2 linked regions of the Notamacropus eugenii genome follow. The protein of the gene in region 2 purifies or fractionates together with the protein of the main gene of each other region. This does not show direct contact. Links are inferred from orthologs where the notes say so. Each region holds a gene or a part of one and is shown on either strand. Other genes may lie near its edges. The genes, in order: FBXW7 and SOX9.

Evidence for each region.
Region 1: the proteins of SOX9 (region 2) and FBXW7 purify together in Homo sapiens (affinity purification with western blotting; 4 studies listed by BioGRID and IntAct, with this or other methods). This does not show direct contact. The link is inferred for Notamacropus eugenii from reciprocal best matches to the Homo sapiens genes SOX9 and FBXW7.

Annotation. Positions count from the first base shown.
Region 1 is NC_092877.1:150,480,420-150,488,589, forward strand, and holds the start of FBXW7 (F-box/WD repeat-containing protein 7), read right to left. Parts: upstream 3,373-8,170; 5' UTR 3,272-3,372; coding exon 3,119-3,271; intron 1-3,118. UniProt on the Homo sapiens protein: Substrate recognition component of a SCF (SKP1-CUL1-F-box protein) E3 ubiquitin-protein ligase complex which mediates the ubiquitination and subsequent proteasomal degradation of target proteins.
Region 2 is NC_092873.1:336,855,980-336,864,402, reverse strand, and holds the start of SOX9 (transcription factor SOX-9), read right to left. Parts: upstream 3,376-8,423; 5' UTR 2,995-3,375; coding exon 2,564-2,994; intron 1,323-2,563; coding exon 1,069-1,322; intron 489-1,068; coding exon 1-488. UniProt on the Homo sapiens protein: Transcription factor that plays a key role in chondrocytes differentiation and skeletal development.

The sequences.
Region 1 (8,170 bases), on a different chromosome or scaffold from region 2:
GAATTACTTTTCCTAAACATAGTACATTTCCACCTCTGTGCCTTTCTTAATTTTATTTGGAATGCAGATCCCTACACCCTCGTTCAACGTAACTTTCCTTGGAATGTCCTAGTCCCTAGCTCACCCAACTCAATTCACACCCATTATTTAAGGTCCAACTTCAAATGCTTTCTCCTCTATGAAGCTTTCTTTAGCTATTTCATATTTAGAGATTGCCTTCCTACCACCCCCCACCCCAGAACCACCAGAGCATTTTATACCACTTTCATTCAACTATGAATTATAATTGCTTATGCAGACTATTGCATAAACCAGTGCTTCTTAATGTGGGTCACCATATGGGGTCACAACCCATAGTTTAAGAAGTGCTGAAGGGGTCATTAGTGAAAAAAGCTTAAGAAGTCCTAGTATAATAAATACCTATATAGTCTATACAGCCTAGACTTCACTTGGGAAATGATATAGTGTTTTTAAAGATCTTTCTTGAAACAAAGTCCCATCATTTAACGGCAAAATTTTTCTGGTAATGTTACAGTTATATAGCAAGGGATACTAATTAGTGAAGAATTAAAATCAATAAAGAGTTTACATGTACGCATGAGAAACCTGCAATATATTACCAATGAAAAACTGATATTATTCATATGGGAAACAAAAGGAGGAATTCTGTTTCCATAGGATGAAGACTCCTCCCAGCTTTGAGTAACAGCAGAATGTAAGTCAGAGATGACTAATTCTAATCAGAGTTGTGACCTTGCAGAACCTGGCTTCTGATCAGGTAAAAGTTCAGAAGCTTGTGTGTATGCTTAATGAGCTGTTTGAAAGGGAACCTATCAGGGAGAAAAATATGAAATAGGATATTTAGGAGGCTTCATCTCATCTTCATCTTCATCAATGGAGAGCAAGGTGGGAAATTCGAACTGGGAACAGCATAAAAAGGCTTGCATTATTCTTGCATTATGAACAAATGTAGCAGTCCATTAGGAACTACCTGTTCATTCAGGAGGGAATAAACATAAAAATTAATAAAAGTTTTCCAAATTTCACAATAAGTATTGATCTTTGTTTAAAGTGAGTATATTTCTAACACTCAAATAAATATATGGCTACCAAAATAAGTACACATATACTGAAAGCAAAAAATACTGGTACTCAAACAATATTCAAGTGAGCTAGAGAAAGACCCCTGGCAGAGATTCACAGAATTGCAAGGGATGAGAAGTCATGGATGGATTGTGATTTTTATCAATGAAGGGGTTGAAGACCATCTAAGAATTAAAATATAGGTATTTTATTTCCACTACTAGAATTAAAATTCCTTAAGCGCAAGGAATTTATCATATATCATTGTATCTCCCTCAGTGCTATATGCAATGTGTATATATGAATGAACCAAAATATGTCTTCACAATTTAATCACCTGTGGAAAATATTGCCAAGTGTTTCACTTAATAAAGATTTTAGTTTTACACAATTAGCCCACAGAATGGGTAGAAGTAGTCCCTTATTTATTAATGGGGCACAGATCAAAAATTAATGGATAAGAAGGCTGTTCAGAACCCCAAATGTAATTTATAAATGCTAGCTAAGATTCCTAGACCAGAAAACAAAAGGCTACTTAAACCACAATGCAACTGAACTATGGTGCTAGTAAAACTAGTCTGAATTCTGGTTCCTGAAAGCAGCAGCCACGTGGTACAAAACTGAGGAACAACAAGACTCTCTCCCTACGTTTCAGGTACAGAGCAGGCCCTACGCAAGCTTTTTCTATGCCTCTTTCTGTATTTTCTATATCTTTAACATATTATCTATATTTTCCCACATATTGTCTATATCTCTTTCTCCCCTATTCCTCCTAGATCACAAACAAGGTTCTCATACTATCTAAATCCTCCACTTACATCATCAGCCAGCATGCTGATGTGATAACTGTCACTACATTTCCTGTAATCATTTTCAAAATAAAAAATTTTAAAACTAACTTAACTGCACTTTTCTTAATTATCATGAGCAGCATCTATACTGTGTTATTTATAATTATCAGTGATAAAAGAGGCATCTGGCAAAAACTGCAAACAAATAATATAAATCTAATGAGTTCTGGTTAAGAACCTTATGACAGTTTTCAAAGAGTTATACTGGCAATACTTAAAACTAAAGTAATTTTTTCATTGCCAAAAGTATAACATTTTTATAACATACTTCTGAACCACATTTCTTTTGTTTGTTTTGTCCTAAGATTCTGCAAGAGATACACATTCCACAGAGACATTTTAAGAAAAGTTTAACACGTTACTACATTGGAAAAGTTGTTCTGCCTATGAAAACATTGAGCCATTAGGATGAAAGGATACTGTCAAGACACCTAGCAGAAAGTTATGATGCTAAATCAGACAATCATGATAACAATAACAGAACTCTATCATGTGTAACTTGACCTATATTTGGTTTTGTGATGAGTTTTAAGTATTAGCCAAGCAGTATCTTTCACTCAGGAAAGCTTTACAGGACATTAGGAAGAGTTGTACTATATCAAACCAGGAGAACAGATGCGTTTTCAATTTTCAGAATATACAGTGTATTCATACAAATATTTATTAAGTAACAGTAAAATAAAAGAATGAAAAACTATATTCAATCATATCAGACAGGTAACAACATCTAATATCTACCAACATTTTATGAACAAAAAAATGGGGAAAAAATACATAATTTATAACATTTCACAGAAAAAAGCCTGTAAATCTATTTTAATACTACATTTATTCCAAACAAAAATCCTATCCTGATTCAAAAGAAGTGCTATGGCTTTAAATGTCTAGCAGTTTAAAATCAACTCTAGGCTGAAATCACAACATCCATTAGTGTGTTGCACAGTTCAGAGCAAGCAAGTGGTTGTCAGTGCAGCCAGTAAATCACCTGATCCTATTACAAAATCAATTACTGCAGCGCGTTCCCATTGCTACACAACCCGATGATGACAAAATGATATTGGATAGCTACTGCAAGGTCAAGAAAACTGCTAAGAACATCCTTAATTTACCTTTTATCATTAGTTCCAAATGATAATGTATCTGATTTAACTATATATTTTGATTTAAAATAAATCTACAGTTACCTTTGGTTGACTGGGGCATTCGATGGACAGTCTCTGTAACTGGTCTGATGTATGGCTGCAAGACAGCAGATCGGAGCAGCAGGTCGAACGGCCCAGCCTCTTCATGAAAGAAGAAATAATGCTGCAGCCACAGCCACACATTGACTTGCTCATCAGATGAGTTTTCTCCTTAAGAAATCAGAACTGGTACTGCCCCATATATACTCAAAATTGGCTGACTGCCTCATTCTGCAGCTTCCTAGCTGAAATAAACACTGCTAAACAGAAAAAACAACAGTGATCTTCCAGATACCAGCTACAATCTCATCACCAAGAAAACTCAAGAAAAGCAGTCTCCCACAGTCCTCTTTTAAAGGTAAGTTGCTTAAAAATTCCTAAATGTTTTATAGTGGAATTTAAGTACTTAATAAAAGAGTAAACTTATGATAAGATGTCCTAAAATTTCACTAACCACTGCTTCTGTCCTCCATCACTTTAAATGTGTTTGATGACTCCTTCAGCTCAGCCTATCGAACCTGTTCCCTCTGTAAATGCACACAATTTCACGACCAACAGGAACGAGCCTCACCCCTCCCTTGCCATGTACACACTGTTCGAGAACAGCTCAATACCTGGAAAAGAACTGCTTGCTGCATTGCTTACAAAAATAACAGGCAGTGAATTATTGGATGGATTCTTTAAACTTACCAATCAGAGCTGCTGACCTTTTATGGCTCTATACTTCCAGAGACCTGCCAGATACTTGACTGTTTTCAGAGTGATAAACTAATTTTACTACTAGGCTCAACATTAATTTACTCCATCTTTTTAACCCTATCACAACTTAAAACATAGGAATAAAAAGAAAATCATATACATCTAAGAAATGTGGCCAATATAAAACTACGCATGGGGGAGGAAGAATTGGCAAACAATTATTTTGAATATTCATATATTTTAAACTACAGAAGAACTGTGAAAGAAATCTATAAAATATCAATGCAAATAATATGTGAAATGAACTGCAAAAGGAAGCAAAAGTGAGAAAACTATTTAAAGGAAAAAAACACGCATAGCTATAGCTGGGCAGATAGTAATTACTATCAAACAGAAACAAGAGTTCTAGGCACTAAATATCACTCTTGGTAAAACTAAATTTTCTGCCATAACTTTATCTAAATAGTCAAAATGAAGTGAAAAAATTAGTTCTAGATAATTTAACAGAATAGGAACATTACATATACCCTTCTACAACCAAGAAGAAAAAAACTTTTAACGTATTCTTACTTCGACAGTAATGAAAAATTAAAAAAAAATTTTCCGCCATCTACTCAGGACACATTACAGTTTCCAGCATCCAAGGGTAACAAACTACTCTGCACATTTATAAAGTAATTTTATTTCAAGTAAGTTTCACTTATTGGAACATCTCCTGGCTATCGACTGCATATTTTATCAGCAAATTTCTCTTTAGATATAGTTTTAAATTATAAGTAGAGCTGCTTAATTTAAGAGATATAAAGAAAAAGAGTCTCATGTTCTACTGCACTGAAAGAAAAGTTCCTTATTTGTTGATCTCTCCCCTCCTTGGCTCAACACTAAAACGAGCTAGTACTGCTTCTCCCTTCACCTTGTGTTGCCCTTTTCAAATTCATGTTTCTGTTAAATCAATTTCTAGCAATACCTAAATAGAGGCATGAACTCCAAATTAATTTTTTTAAGATTTTTTTTCTACATAAAGACAAGGGATACAAACAAACAAAATAATGCAGTAACCTTTTACTCGCCTGCTGGAGGTACTGTCTGCTGCATAGAATTTTAAATCCTGATCTGCAGATGCAATTGAGCTGGTATTGCCAAGGACTCTGCTTTTTCTGTGCTGCTTCTACATGGCTATTCATCGAAAGAGCATATTATGTGGCAAAATTAAAGTACTATCTGCTGAAATTTTTCATAACATTGGGGCGGAGGTGGGAACTTCTAAAACCCTGTTACAGATTGTCCTGTCACATTTTCAGATGCCTGTCAGACATCAGAAAAGGTCGCATTGATGATATGCTTTTAACAAACATGTAGGAAGATGACTTGGAGAGGGAATCCAAAATTATTATACTGTTAATGTGCAAAGACATTACTAGTAAAACTAGGTAAAATATATGTTGCAAAAACTCTTTCCAGAAGTACAATAGCTATAATAATTAGTTTTTAGATTTATCAGTAAGTAAATCCTATTTTACTAATAGGACTGGTTAGAAGATAATTGTTTCTGGTATATTGCAGGTATGTCTGCATAAAGCTTCTCATGCATACTAATATTAACAAAACTATGAACATTTTTAGCTACTCAATTTAAACACTTTCAGAATGAAAACATAAAGCAACAACATAATTAGAAAATCAGAAGCATTAAGTACTTGTGGACTATCCAGATTTTCAAACCCTAGAGTATGCTATAATAGGGATGAAATGGGAACAGTGAAGGCTATTATTCATTATTTATGATTTTTCCCTTTATGTCAGCTAATTTAATGTACTATTGATTCTCAAGATGCATATAGATGGGGCAAGAGGCAAACCAACAGGATCATATATACAAATGAAAAAGACTATCACAAAAATCAGTGAAAGATTATTTAAAAAAATAGTAAAGCTACTGCTAAAATTTCAGTTAAATCTGTGAAACAAAAGTAAATGAATGCCAATGCTTCAATTACCATACAATTAAACTATATAATTATTCGCCAATAAAATATAAAAATTACTGGATGTTTAAACTTATGCCATTATTTTTTAAGCCTTGGGGGAAAACACAAAAATAGGACATTTAAAGAGAATAATACTAGTTTGATTTTACCTTCTTTAGAGAAAAACGAAAATACTTCAATAACTGGGGAGAAGTGTTGAGAAATACGTAAATAACAGGCTGATAATGGCTCATCTGCAACAAAGCAAATAATAATCAAGCCTAAACTGATCTATTAGATCAGACCAGACTTATGTTTCCCTTATGTTTTAAAATACAATTTATAATTTCATTTCCACTAAAGAGGAGGAAAATCCTCCCACGTTTGTACTTTCCTAACAGATATTTAAGCTGTAATCAACTTTACAAAAGTTATGCTGTGTTGCCAAAAGATGACATATTCAGTCAAACTGAACAAGATAGAAATCCTCATCGCTGTTTTATCTGATGTATACCGTTTAAAGAAAGACTAGTCATCTTTTTTTTTAATCTAAAGGTAAGATCCTTTTATCATAAATTAAACTGTATATGTTATTATGCCCTTAAATTTAACAATTCTCTCATTCATTTTAAATACTCAATATATTTTCAGTAGTTTTTCTCTTCTATGTTAAGTGTGTGTGCGTGTGTGTGTATGTGTATATACGTACAGATAAATAAAAGCACCATCAAGCAGCAAATAACTGTTCTGAAAAATTCAATTCTGACTTCCAAAAATCAAAGTGAAAAATCACTCTGGCTCTACAAAAATTCTGGAAAAAAAAATTAACTGAGAAATAAAGAAAAATTCAATAAAACACTAAAAGTTCTTTTGGAAAACACAAAAGAAATACAAAATTATGCCCCATAAGAAAAATAGAATTCTTTATGTTCTTATAAATGCTGATACATTTAAACATTAAGTAAGTCTCAAAAGAAATATGAACTTTATATTAGAAGTTGCAAAGATCCTTTATCTTCCTCCTTTCCCCCTCAGGTTCCCTACTTCCTTGGTACATTTTACATTAACATGCCAAGTTTTAATTTTTTTTGCTACAAATTCTCAGATTAAATCTGTGGGATGCAGTCCACCTAAACAAGCTCTCTACACATGGCCAAATTTTAATTATTCATTTGAAAATACTTATTAATTATCTTTTATTCATAAGATACCTTACTGGTCCAAGGGGCTTATAAAGAGGTAGACTATGGTGAGCATATAAGGTAATAACTGATTTTGATGCATGACTTATAGAATACTTTTCATTACTTTATAGTCACACCCTATACATAACCCCTATGCTCAAGAAAATTTAGAATGGAGGTCAGAAGGGGGAAGACAAAAACACGTTGAAAGTTAAGTAGTTAATTAATTCTTTAATTGTGCTTTCTTAGCTACTCTCTTATTTCATTTTCACAAGGGCACTATGAGGTGGGTAGGGATGCTATAATCCCTTATATTTTATAGTTGATGAAACAGGTTCTGTGAAGTTGCTACCTGAAAATAATCACACAGCTGGTAAGTGGCAAAAGCACAAGTCAAATCCAGGTCTTCTTGTCTTAAAGTATAATGCTTTCTTCACTAGATCACATTCTCTTCTCAGTAATGATACAGGACAAAAATATTAAAGGTGTCAAGAAATAGTAGAGAACTAAGTCCCAAATAAGTGATACAGAGAGTTTTATAATTTCAGGAGAGAGATTATTATATGAATTTGTGAATGCAGATGGTATTTGAGCTAGGCTTTGAGGAAAAAGGCAAGATCTAAGTTGACAATAGGATAATGAAGGGATGGCACTATATTTACAGGAATACATATAGCATGTGCAAGAAACAGGGAGTATACTAGACTAGCTGGAGTTGTGGGTTGATATATGGAAGTAGTAGAAGAGAGGTCAAACTGTAGAAGATCAGGAATGAAAAGTTAAGGATTTTAGACTTTATTTGGCAAAGAGGAGTCAAAGAAGCTTTTGAGCTAAGGAGTGATATAAATATTTTAGGAAAATTAATCTTGCAGCAGTGTACAATGTAAATGGGAGAGTGAAACAAGATACCAATTAGGAAAAAAATGCAATAATCCAAAGAGTGGAATGATGGGAATATGAATTAGGGTAGAAGCAGTATAAACAGGAAGATAAAGTGACAAGCTTAAGACAAAAATAAATATAATATGGCTCTTTTGATTATGGGAAACAAAATAGAAAAAAGAATGAAATAATAAACCATTATAACTGATGAATTTATCCATATCAATGCTGGAATAAGAACATAAATAATGTAATTCATATTTAAGTTTAAATTCAATTCAAAAAACATTTGTTAGAGAAACAAAGATAAACAGAACATACTT
Region 2 (8,423 bases):
TTCACTGCTCAGAGGAGTGAGGGTATGGGTCTGAGATGGTGCCTGTGGCTGCTGGGCTGACTGCTGCTGCTGCTGCTGCGGTGTCGGCTGCGGTTGGGCCTGAGGAGGCTGAGGTGGTGGAGGAGGCTGTTGAGGAGGTGGGGGCTGCTGAGGCTGCTGCTGTTTTGACATCCACGAAGATGGGGGGGCAGAAGTGCTGCTGATGCCATAGCTTCCTGTATAAGTAACCTGACCAGGCTGGCCATGAGTAACTGGGACTCCTGGGTGGCCATTGGGTGGGAGATATTGGTCAAATTCATTAACGTCAAAGGTCTCGATGTTAGAGATGACATCACTACTCAGTTCCCCTATGTCCACATCTCGGAAATCGATAGGGGGCTGTCTTCCCCCTTCCTGCAAGGGGCGTCCCTCTCTCTTCAGGTCAGTCTTGCCTGCCTGCACATCAGTTTTGGGGGTGGTGGGTGGGGTAGGTGGGCCCTGAGACTGTCCTGTAGAAAAGAAGAAACACAGAAAAGTCAATATTATGTTTGATAAGGACTTGGGCTGGATAACTGCATAGACCTGTCTGGGAAACACTTTTATGGTCCCTGTTTAACTGCTAAGGTGTAATAAAGACCCTGACCTGAGCAAGTAGTGACCTGGAATGGAGATAAGCCACTGAATGATTAACCAGAGAGGGTACACACCTAGCCACCTACTTTTATCTTCGGTGGATCTGAAGTCAAGTAGTTCTGAGACACTAAACTGAGCATATTTTAGGTCAGCTGTAGTGTGTTTGGAGAGTGGGTGGATAATAGATTGGACTCCTCTTTATGGAGTTTTTGAGAGCCTTTGCAAATCTTCGATATTGCAATTTAGGAAAAAAATGTGGCTATTTCAATATGGCCAGTTGCAGAAATGCCCTGAATTTGCACATTTGTATGCAGAAGACAGTGGTTAGCCAGAGATGGCATAGGAGTAGAAATCTCCATGGGGATGGAGGTGAAGAGGGAGGTGGGGGGCACTCTGCTGAATGTATGAGTGAATGGCTTGGGGAATGGTTAGTGGTGGGGATGGGATCCGACATACCAGAATGCTCCCCAGGGGAGTGCACTTCACTCATGCCAGAGGAAGAATGCGGAGAGTCTGCCTGCAGCGCCTTGAAGATGGCATTGGGCGAGATGTGGGTCTGCTCAGTACCTTCCTCCTGTTCCGCCTGCCCGTTCTTGACTGACTTCCTCCTCCGAGGTTGGTACTTGTAATCTGGGTGGTCCTTCTTGTGTTGAACCCTCAGTCGTTCTGCCTCTTCCACAAAAGGCCGTTTCTCACTCTCATTTAACAGCCTGAGCAAAGAGGGGGAGAAGAGAGGAGAGAGGGTAAGACTACCAGCACAGTTGTCAATTTGGGGAGGGGGTGGGGCCCTGATACTGTACAATACAGTTACTTTCCTATGGAACGTCTCTTAAAAGACTATCTGGAGGGAATTGCAGTCTTCATCCTATTCAAGTTGACTGGTCTAATAGAGGAATTTTAGCTTTATTTTTTAAAATAATAAGCAAAAAGATTATATAAAACTGTATTGTGTAGGTCAGATGAGGTAATTATTCTCCTTTTCTTCTTTCTCTCTCTTCTAAACAGTCAAGAGATGGGCACGGGGTCTGCTGCTTCTCTTTGGGGAATTTGCTATCAGGGTTAATTCTCTCTCTCTCTCTCTCTCTCTCTCTCTCTCTCTCTCTGTCTGTCTGTCTCTCTGTCTGTCTGTCTGTCTCTCTGTCTCTGTTTCTCTGTCTCTGTCTCTCATCTCTCTCTCACCTTAAAAAAAAGTTTTTTTTCCCCTCCTGATAAATTGCTTTACCTCCTGGTAAAAATGTTTTAAACTGTGGCCTCCTTTGCCTTTGCCCCTATCTTTCACCCTCCCCAAATCCAGCCTCCTCTCTTCTTTTCATAGGCTCTTGTGCACTTTCCCAGCCTCTCCTCACCACCACTGTAAAGCACCAGCCAGTTTACCAGAATGAATTACAAAGAAGCCATCACCCAAATCAAAAAATTCCTTCCTACGCCCTAGCTCCCTTTCTGCCCCCCCTTTTTTGCCCTCTCTCTTTCTCCCGAGATCTCACTTAAGTGGCACAGAAACACACACACACACACACACACACACACACACACACACACACACACACACACACACACACCCCTCCATCTACCGACCCCCTCCCCCGCCCCTCAAGTTTGCAGAGTTTAAGCTTTAATTAATCTACTTTCAAAAAATTTTCCTCCATCCCTCCTATTACACACTTTATACGCCCCTATTTTCACTTCCTTCCCCCTCGCTTTCATTCGCAATATCGAATTAACCAAGCACCCCTCTCCTTGCCTCCAGTGAGATAGCACTCCAGCCCCTCCGGGTGAGAGTGTGGGAAGCTTAAGTTTGCAAAACATGGCATCCAAATAATTTGGTCAAACTCAGAGCTGCCCTGTCCCGCGCCACCAGTTCTTCCCCCCGCCCCCAACTCCAATTTCTTTCAGTCCCCCGCGGTGGGCTCGGCCGGGGGAGAGTGGATCGGCATCTCCTCTAAGAACCTACCTCCAGAGCTTGCCCAGAGTCTTGCTGAGCTCGGCGTTGTGCAGGTGCGGGTACTGGTCTGCAAGCTTCCTGCGAGCCGCTTGCGCCCACACCATGAAGGCATTCATGGGCCGCTTGACATGCGGCTTGTTCTTGCTAGAGCCATTGACTCGCACGGGCATAGGCACCAGGGTCCAGTCGTAGCCCTTGAGCACTTGGCTGACTGCCTCCCGGATGCACACGGGGAACTTGTCCTCCTCGCTCTCCTTTTTCAGATCGGACTCGCCCTTGGGAAAAGTGTTCTCCTGGGGCCGGGTGTTCTCAGTGTCCGAACCCGAGCCCGAGGGGCAGGGCGAGCCCGCCGAGTCCTCCGACATAGTGGGGCTGGGGGCTCCAGACAGGCCCTTCTCCTGCTCGTCGGTCATCTTCATGAAGGGGTCGAGGAGATTCATGCGACAGCCCGAGGGAGGGGGCGGGTTACGAGAAAAGGAGAGCCGGGGCTCTGACCCAAGGCACTGCCGGGCGGGAGGCGTAGGGTCCTCGCGCCTCAGCTGGTCGGAGAAGGAGCAGTGGGCTGCACGGCAAGCTCGCAAGTCCGCCGAGCCGCCCTGATGCAAAGATCTGCGGGGCAGCTGGGGGGTGTCCAGTCCGCCGCCACCCGCTCGAAGTTGGGAGATTCAAGGAACAGAGAAAAAGAGAGAGAGAAAAAGTGGGTGCTCTTTCTCTTCTCCAAAGAAAAGTTCTTGGGGAGGGAGGGGGGAAGTGGGAGGGTTTGGAATCGAGGCTTCACCAAAGTACCTAGTCAATTTTCAAGCCCCGTTCTCTACTCTCCAAATCTCTGGCTCAGTCTCTTTAATAAATACTCCCTCACCTTAGAGACTTTCGGCCAATCACAGCCCGGCCTTTCACAGCTGATTGGCTAAAAGTTTTGGGGAGGGGAGCGCCCCTTGCAGTTTCTGGGATGGGAGGGGCGGGATGGCAGTGGGGGTGGGGATGGGGTGTAAGGGAAGGCGGGGGACCAGAAACGTCTGTGTGTGATTTTGCTGCGCTCTTGGTATGTCAGAAGTTTGGTACTATCTCAGGGCAAACTATTCTCTGTGTGTGTGTGTGTGTGTGTGTGTGTGTGTGCGTGCGCGCGCGCGTGTTTGTCTAGACAGACTTAAAAAAAAAGTTTTTAGTATGACCGAGGATGTAGATGGAGTTTACTGTCCCGTGAAAGCGACTCCGTGGCTACAAGTGTCTCACACAGATTATTCGCTTAGAGCTGGCCTCAGAATATGCTTAGGAAAAACAAAAAAACCCAAGTTTAAAACGGCAAAATGTCTGGGAGATTTAACGGCTGCTGTTATTCCACAACAATCCGCATAAATAGATTAACGTGTCATGCTTCCCTGTGGTCGGTGTCGCTTGTCAAATATGCTTAGGCGCTGCTGCTTCAAACCCAAGTAGTGCCCACTAAGCTAGTGCTGGGCAGCGCTGGAATTCGGGTTCTCGACCAGCTCAGCCTCCACCTCCACCCTATCCACTCTGGTGGGTAGGTGGCTAATGAACCTTGATCTCTGACAAGACATTTAGAACTTCTACCCTATCTATCTTGCTCCCCACTCTCCTCACCCTGATTATATGGCAGTCATACTCAGGTCTTCTAACAGGAAGGTCTCATCTTCTATAAAATGTGTCTGTTTGCAACTAGAAAGACTTTGCTCATGGTTCAAAGCTTTAGATAGCTAACTCCCCTAATCCGCGAGGCAGTGAGGGACAGCTTGGCAAAGGTTTGTCATTTAACAACCCAAACAGAACTACAAAAGAAAAAAAAACTTCACTTTAGTTAAGTTGCAATGTACCTTTTACTTTGCCTAGGGAAGAACGATAGGCATTTTCACTTTCTTCTCTCTTAAGTGTCTACTGTTAAGATTGTGGGATGCCTTTTTAGCCGACTTTTAAAAGGTTTTATCTCTCGCCACAGAAAGCTTTTAGAAGAGGAATACTTAAGGACGCTAAAGTCCAGTAGTATAGGTTTTGAAATTGTGTTGAGCGCAAGAACAGCCTTAGAAACCCTGTGGGATTTGCGTCTTAAAAATTTCACAAAACTTGAATAACTTGGAATAACTCGTCGTTTTTACACGAACCACCCTCTTTTCCCACTCTGAGACATTTTCACTTCGCTTTAGATGATTTTTTTTGGAGGGGGGAGGTTGAATTTTACGAGCGGTACATAAAATGTCTCTCCTAATTTAATTTGAAAATAGCTGGCAGTGTTCGATGGTTTTCTTAAAAACGAAAAAAAAAACTTTTTCTCGAGGAGAGTGTTAAAATTTTTGCCTCCTTTTCTCTAAAAGAAAGTAATTAAAAAAAAAAAAGAAATGTGTACTCATCACAGTGTAGTCACAGTTGTATGACTTAGAAATTATACTTATTTGACACTAGGGAAAGTAAAATCTTAAACGTCTGCATAACCATGTTTGTGTGTTGAAAAAACTACCATACAACCAACTTGAATGTGCATCTGTTGTATTGGCAAGTAGGATGCCAATAGGGTATATTGCTTTCTTGGGGTGAGGGTGGGGGATGGAATTGTGTTGTGTATTCCTGTGTATTGAAAGGGAATTGTAAACGTAATTGTTTAATTTCTTCTAATTTGCACATACTGGAAGAATACATGCACAAACTGCAAGCTGTGAGCAGAGATTTAAAGAAAATCATTGCCAAAATATTTAGAAGAGTTTAAAAATATTAATTCCTGTAATTAATTACTAGCACAATGACAGTTAGGTGGACTTTGACCTTAAAGTATTTAAAAATATTTCTCTGAGTAGTTTCAGTACAACATATTATATATTACATGTAATACCACATTGGGAATTATGAATTATATACTCATATTTTAAAAAGCGGTAACCGTACTTTGTGCATTTTTTGTGCATTTGAAACATGCATATTGCCGTACCTTCTTAAACTTAATTGTAAACTTTCAGATATTTAAAAAAAGAGAAAAGCATGCAATTCCTAGCATCATCCAGAGGGGGCACCAAAAGCCCAGAAAAGAACGAACTCTACGTTTCTAAGAGAAACTTTAGAAAATCTTTGAAGGGTGAGGAAAGTCTTGAGTTAATCTGGAGTTTGGTGATGTGATTTATATCTTTTGGAGTTCGTGGACCACTCTCTTTCCCTCTCTGTCTCTGTCTCTTTCTCTCTCTCTTTCTCTTCCTCCCCCCTCCTCTTCCTCCTCCTCCTCCTCTCTCTACTTCTGTCTCTGGTGTTCTCTCTATGTATGTGTATCTGTGTCTTTCCGTCTGACTATCTCCATCTCTGTTTCTCTGTCTGTCTCAGGGTTTGTCTCTATGTGTCCCTGTTTCTGTCTCCGTCTTTTTTTTTTGGGAGATTTGTTTCTGTTTCATTGGGTCTCTGTCTTTGTATTTGCGTCTGTGTCCCTATGTTTCTCCCTGTGTGTCTATCTTTCTGTTTTTCTCTGGTTGTCTCTCTCCCTAGTGAGCTCCAACATTTCTGGAGCAAACCTGGGGGGAAGTTGAGATGTGAACATATAGATAGGTGTGTGGGTAGGAGTGAATGATGTTGGGGGCCAGGATGATTGGAGGAAATGTCCAAGGTTTTGATTCCTTACCATATGGTGAAATAGAAGGACATTCTCACCTAAGGACACACCAAGTCCAAATGTATCTCTCTTCATTGGACACTGAAAAGGCCAGTGCCATTTGCATAATAAAATTTGCTGGTGAGAAGCCTTCCTCTTTGGAGAAATTTAAAAAAGCGGACTTGGCAGCTAGTTCTTTCATTTGAAGGAGAAGGTTTCACAGAGAAACACAGTTCTCATCTTCTCCAATGGCATCATTCCATCCCAGGTCATCCCTACCGAAGAACCAATGACCCACATCCCCCCAGTGCCCACTCAAAGTTTACTCTTTCAGGACACATGAATTTTAGGCAACAATTCACAAACCTGCAAAAATAGATATTTAAGAAGGAAATAAAGGTGGATTCCCAACCTAATTCCTTCAGTAGACTAATGTCTCAGTCTAATGGTTGTGTTAGTGTGTATGTATATGTGTGGGGTTGAGGAGAGGCAGGCTAGGAACTGTGGAGTGGTAGTCTTGAAGAGAATCCAACTAGTTTTTAAAGGATAATGTTTAACAAATATATTATTGTTATATTTGTAGGTGGTTCTCTCCCCCACCCTCTTTTGCCTGCTTTTCTTTTTAAGAGCATCAGGATTTTAACTGGACCCAGCATAGCTCCAGAGTAGACAGGCGCTGTAAAGTCTGCGGCCTGGGCAGCTAGACACCAAGGAGAGTGGGGCCTGGAATCCTAGAAAACCGAAGTCTGGGAGCTCCTCTATTTACCTTTCTCCCCTATTTGTGTCTCCCCACCCCCTTCACCTACTCTAAGCATTTTTCTAACCTTCTCTTTCTGGTAGAACTGAGAGCCAGGACAGGACGAGATTGATCTATTTGGAAGAAGCTGGTAAGGTGGAGGAGCCAATACTAGGGTTTTCTGTTAAAAATTAAGCTAGAAGTTTTACTAGCAAATTTCTTCACCTAAACAAAGGGTAAATTATTCCTCTTACCTAGTCCTAGGCACTTATTATGTGTCTCCAGACCCGCTGAAAAGTCGCTAAGGCCCTTTTCCTTCCCTTCCGAAGAAAAGTGCCAGTCTCTTACCCCAAGCAGAACAACCAGCAAATGCTTTGGCTTGCTAAACCCCAACTCATGTAATTAATTCTTTCCTTTGTCTTGCGGGGCCTTTTTACTTTCTATGAGCCTGGAAGAAACCTTTGGAGTGAGCCACAGGTAAATGTGAGTCCCCTGGATGGAAGTCTGACTGAGAAGAAATAGAGACTGGGAACTGTAGCACCCTATCTTAAAGAATATTTGTCGAATGAAAGAATACATCAACTTTACGTATAACGTGTGTGTTTCACATCACAGTCCAAGAGTCTCCGTAAGCACCATACATAGAGGGTGTCCCAAAAATTCTTAATGCTGCTTTAAGTTACTAGAGCTTTGTACACTCTGTGTACAAAATTGTGTGTGTGTGTGTGTGTGTGTGTGTGTTTTAATTGCCCTTTAGGAAATACTCAAATGCTCTTCAAAACTTAGAAAGATGCTAGACCAGGTAGCTAAAATTTGTGTCATCTAGATTGGGCAGTACAGAAACCCCCGTTTTCACTTGTATTTCAAGGCAGGACTTCATCTTCCCGACCTTGGTGATTTTTCGAATGCTAATATGTACACGTGCTTATGTGTGTGTGTGTGTGTGTGTGTGTGTGTGTGTCTGGGTGGGGGTGTGTGTGTCTGGGTGGGGGTGAGGGGCTCGAGTCCACAGCAGAGAAGCTAGCTAGGCTGCGTGCGTGCGTGCGCGGTGTGCATTGTATTGAAGACTGCGGGATATTCCTAGGGCAAGGAGCCAGAATGGTTGGCGAGCTAAGCGGGAAAGAAAAAATCTACGGACCGCTTTCTTGTTTACAAGGCAGAGGGGAAGGCGGGAGGAAAAGCCCCAAAGAGTGTGGTTGGCTTTCTTCCCGAAAATCCGTGTCCTTAACTACGGGGCCCGCGCGCTGTATGTCTACTTCTAATTGTCCCCAATCCATCCTTAAAAGACTTGGGGGAATCTAGGGGAAAGGCAAGGAAGGATGATCCCAGGACAACATTTTTGGAATTCATTTAATTTTTTTTCTCTAAGTTTTAACCAGAGGTGGTTTGGCCCAGCTGAATAAAGCTGAATTCAGTTGCCTGGCGTAGGCGCGGTGGGGCAGGGAACAGTAGTGATCAGCCCGGGTTAGCGGAGCCTCACACCCCTTCTCCTCCGCAGCTCTTGCCTCGGAGCTGCCCTCTTATTATTCCCCCCTTCTCCTTCTCCCGAGGCT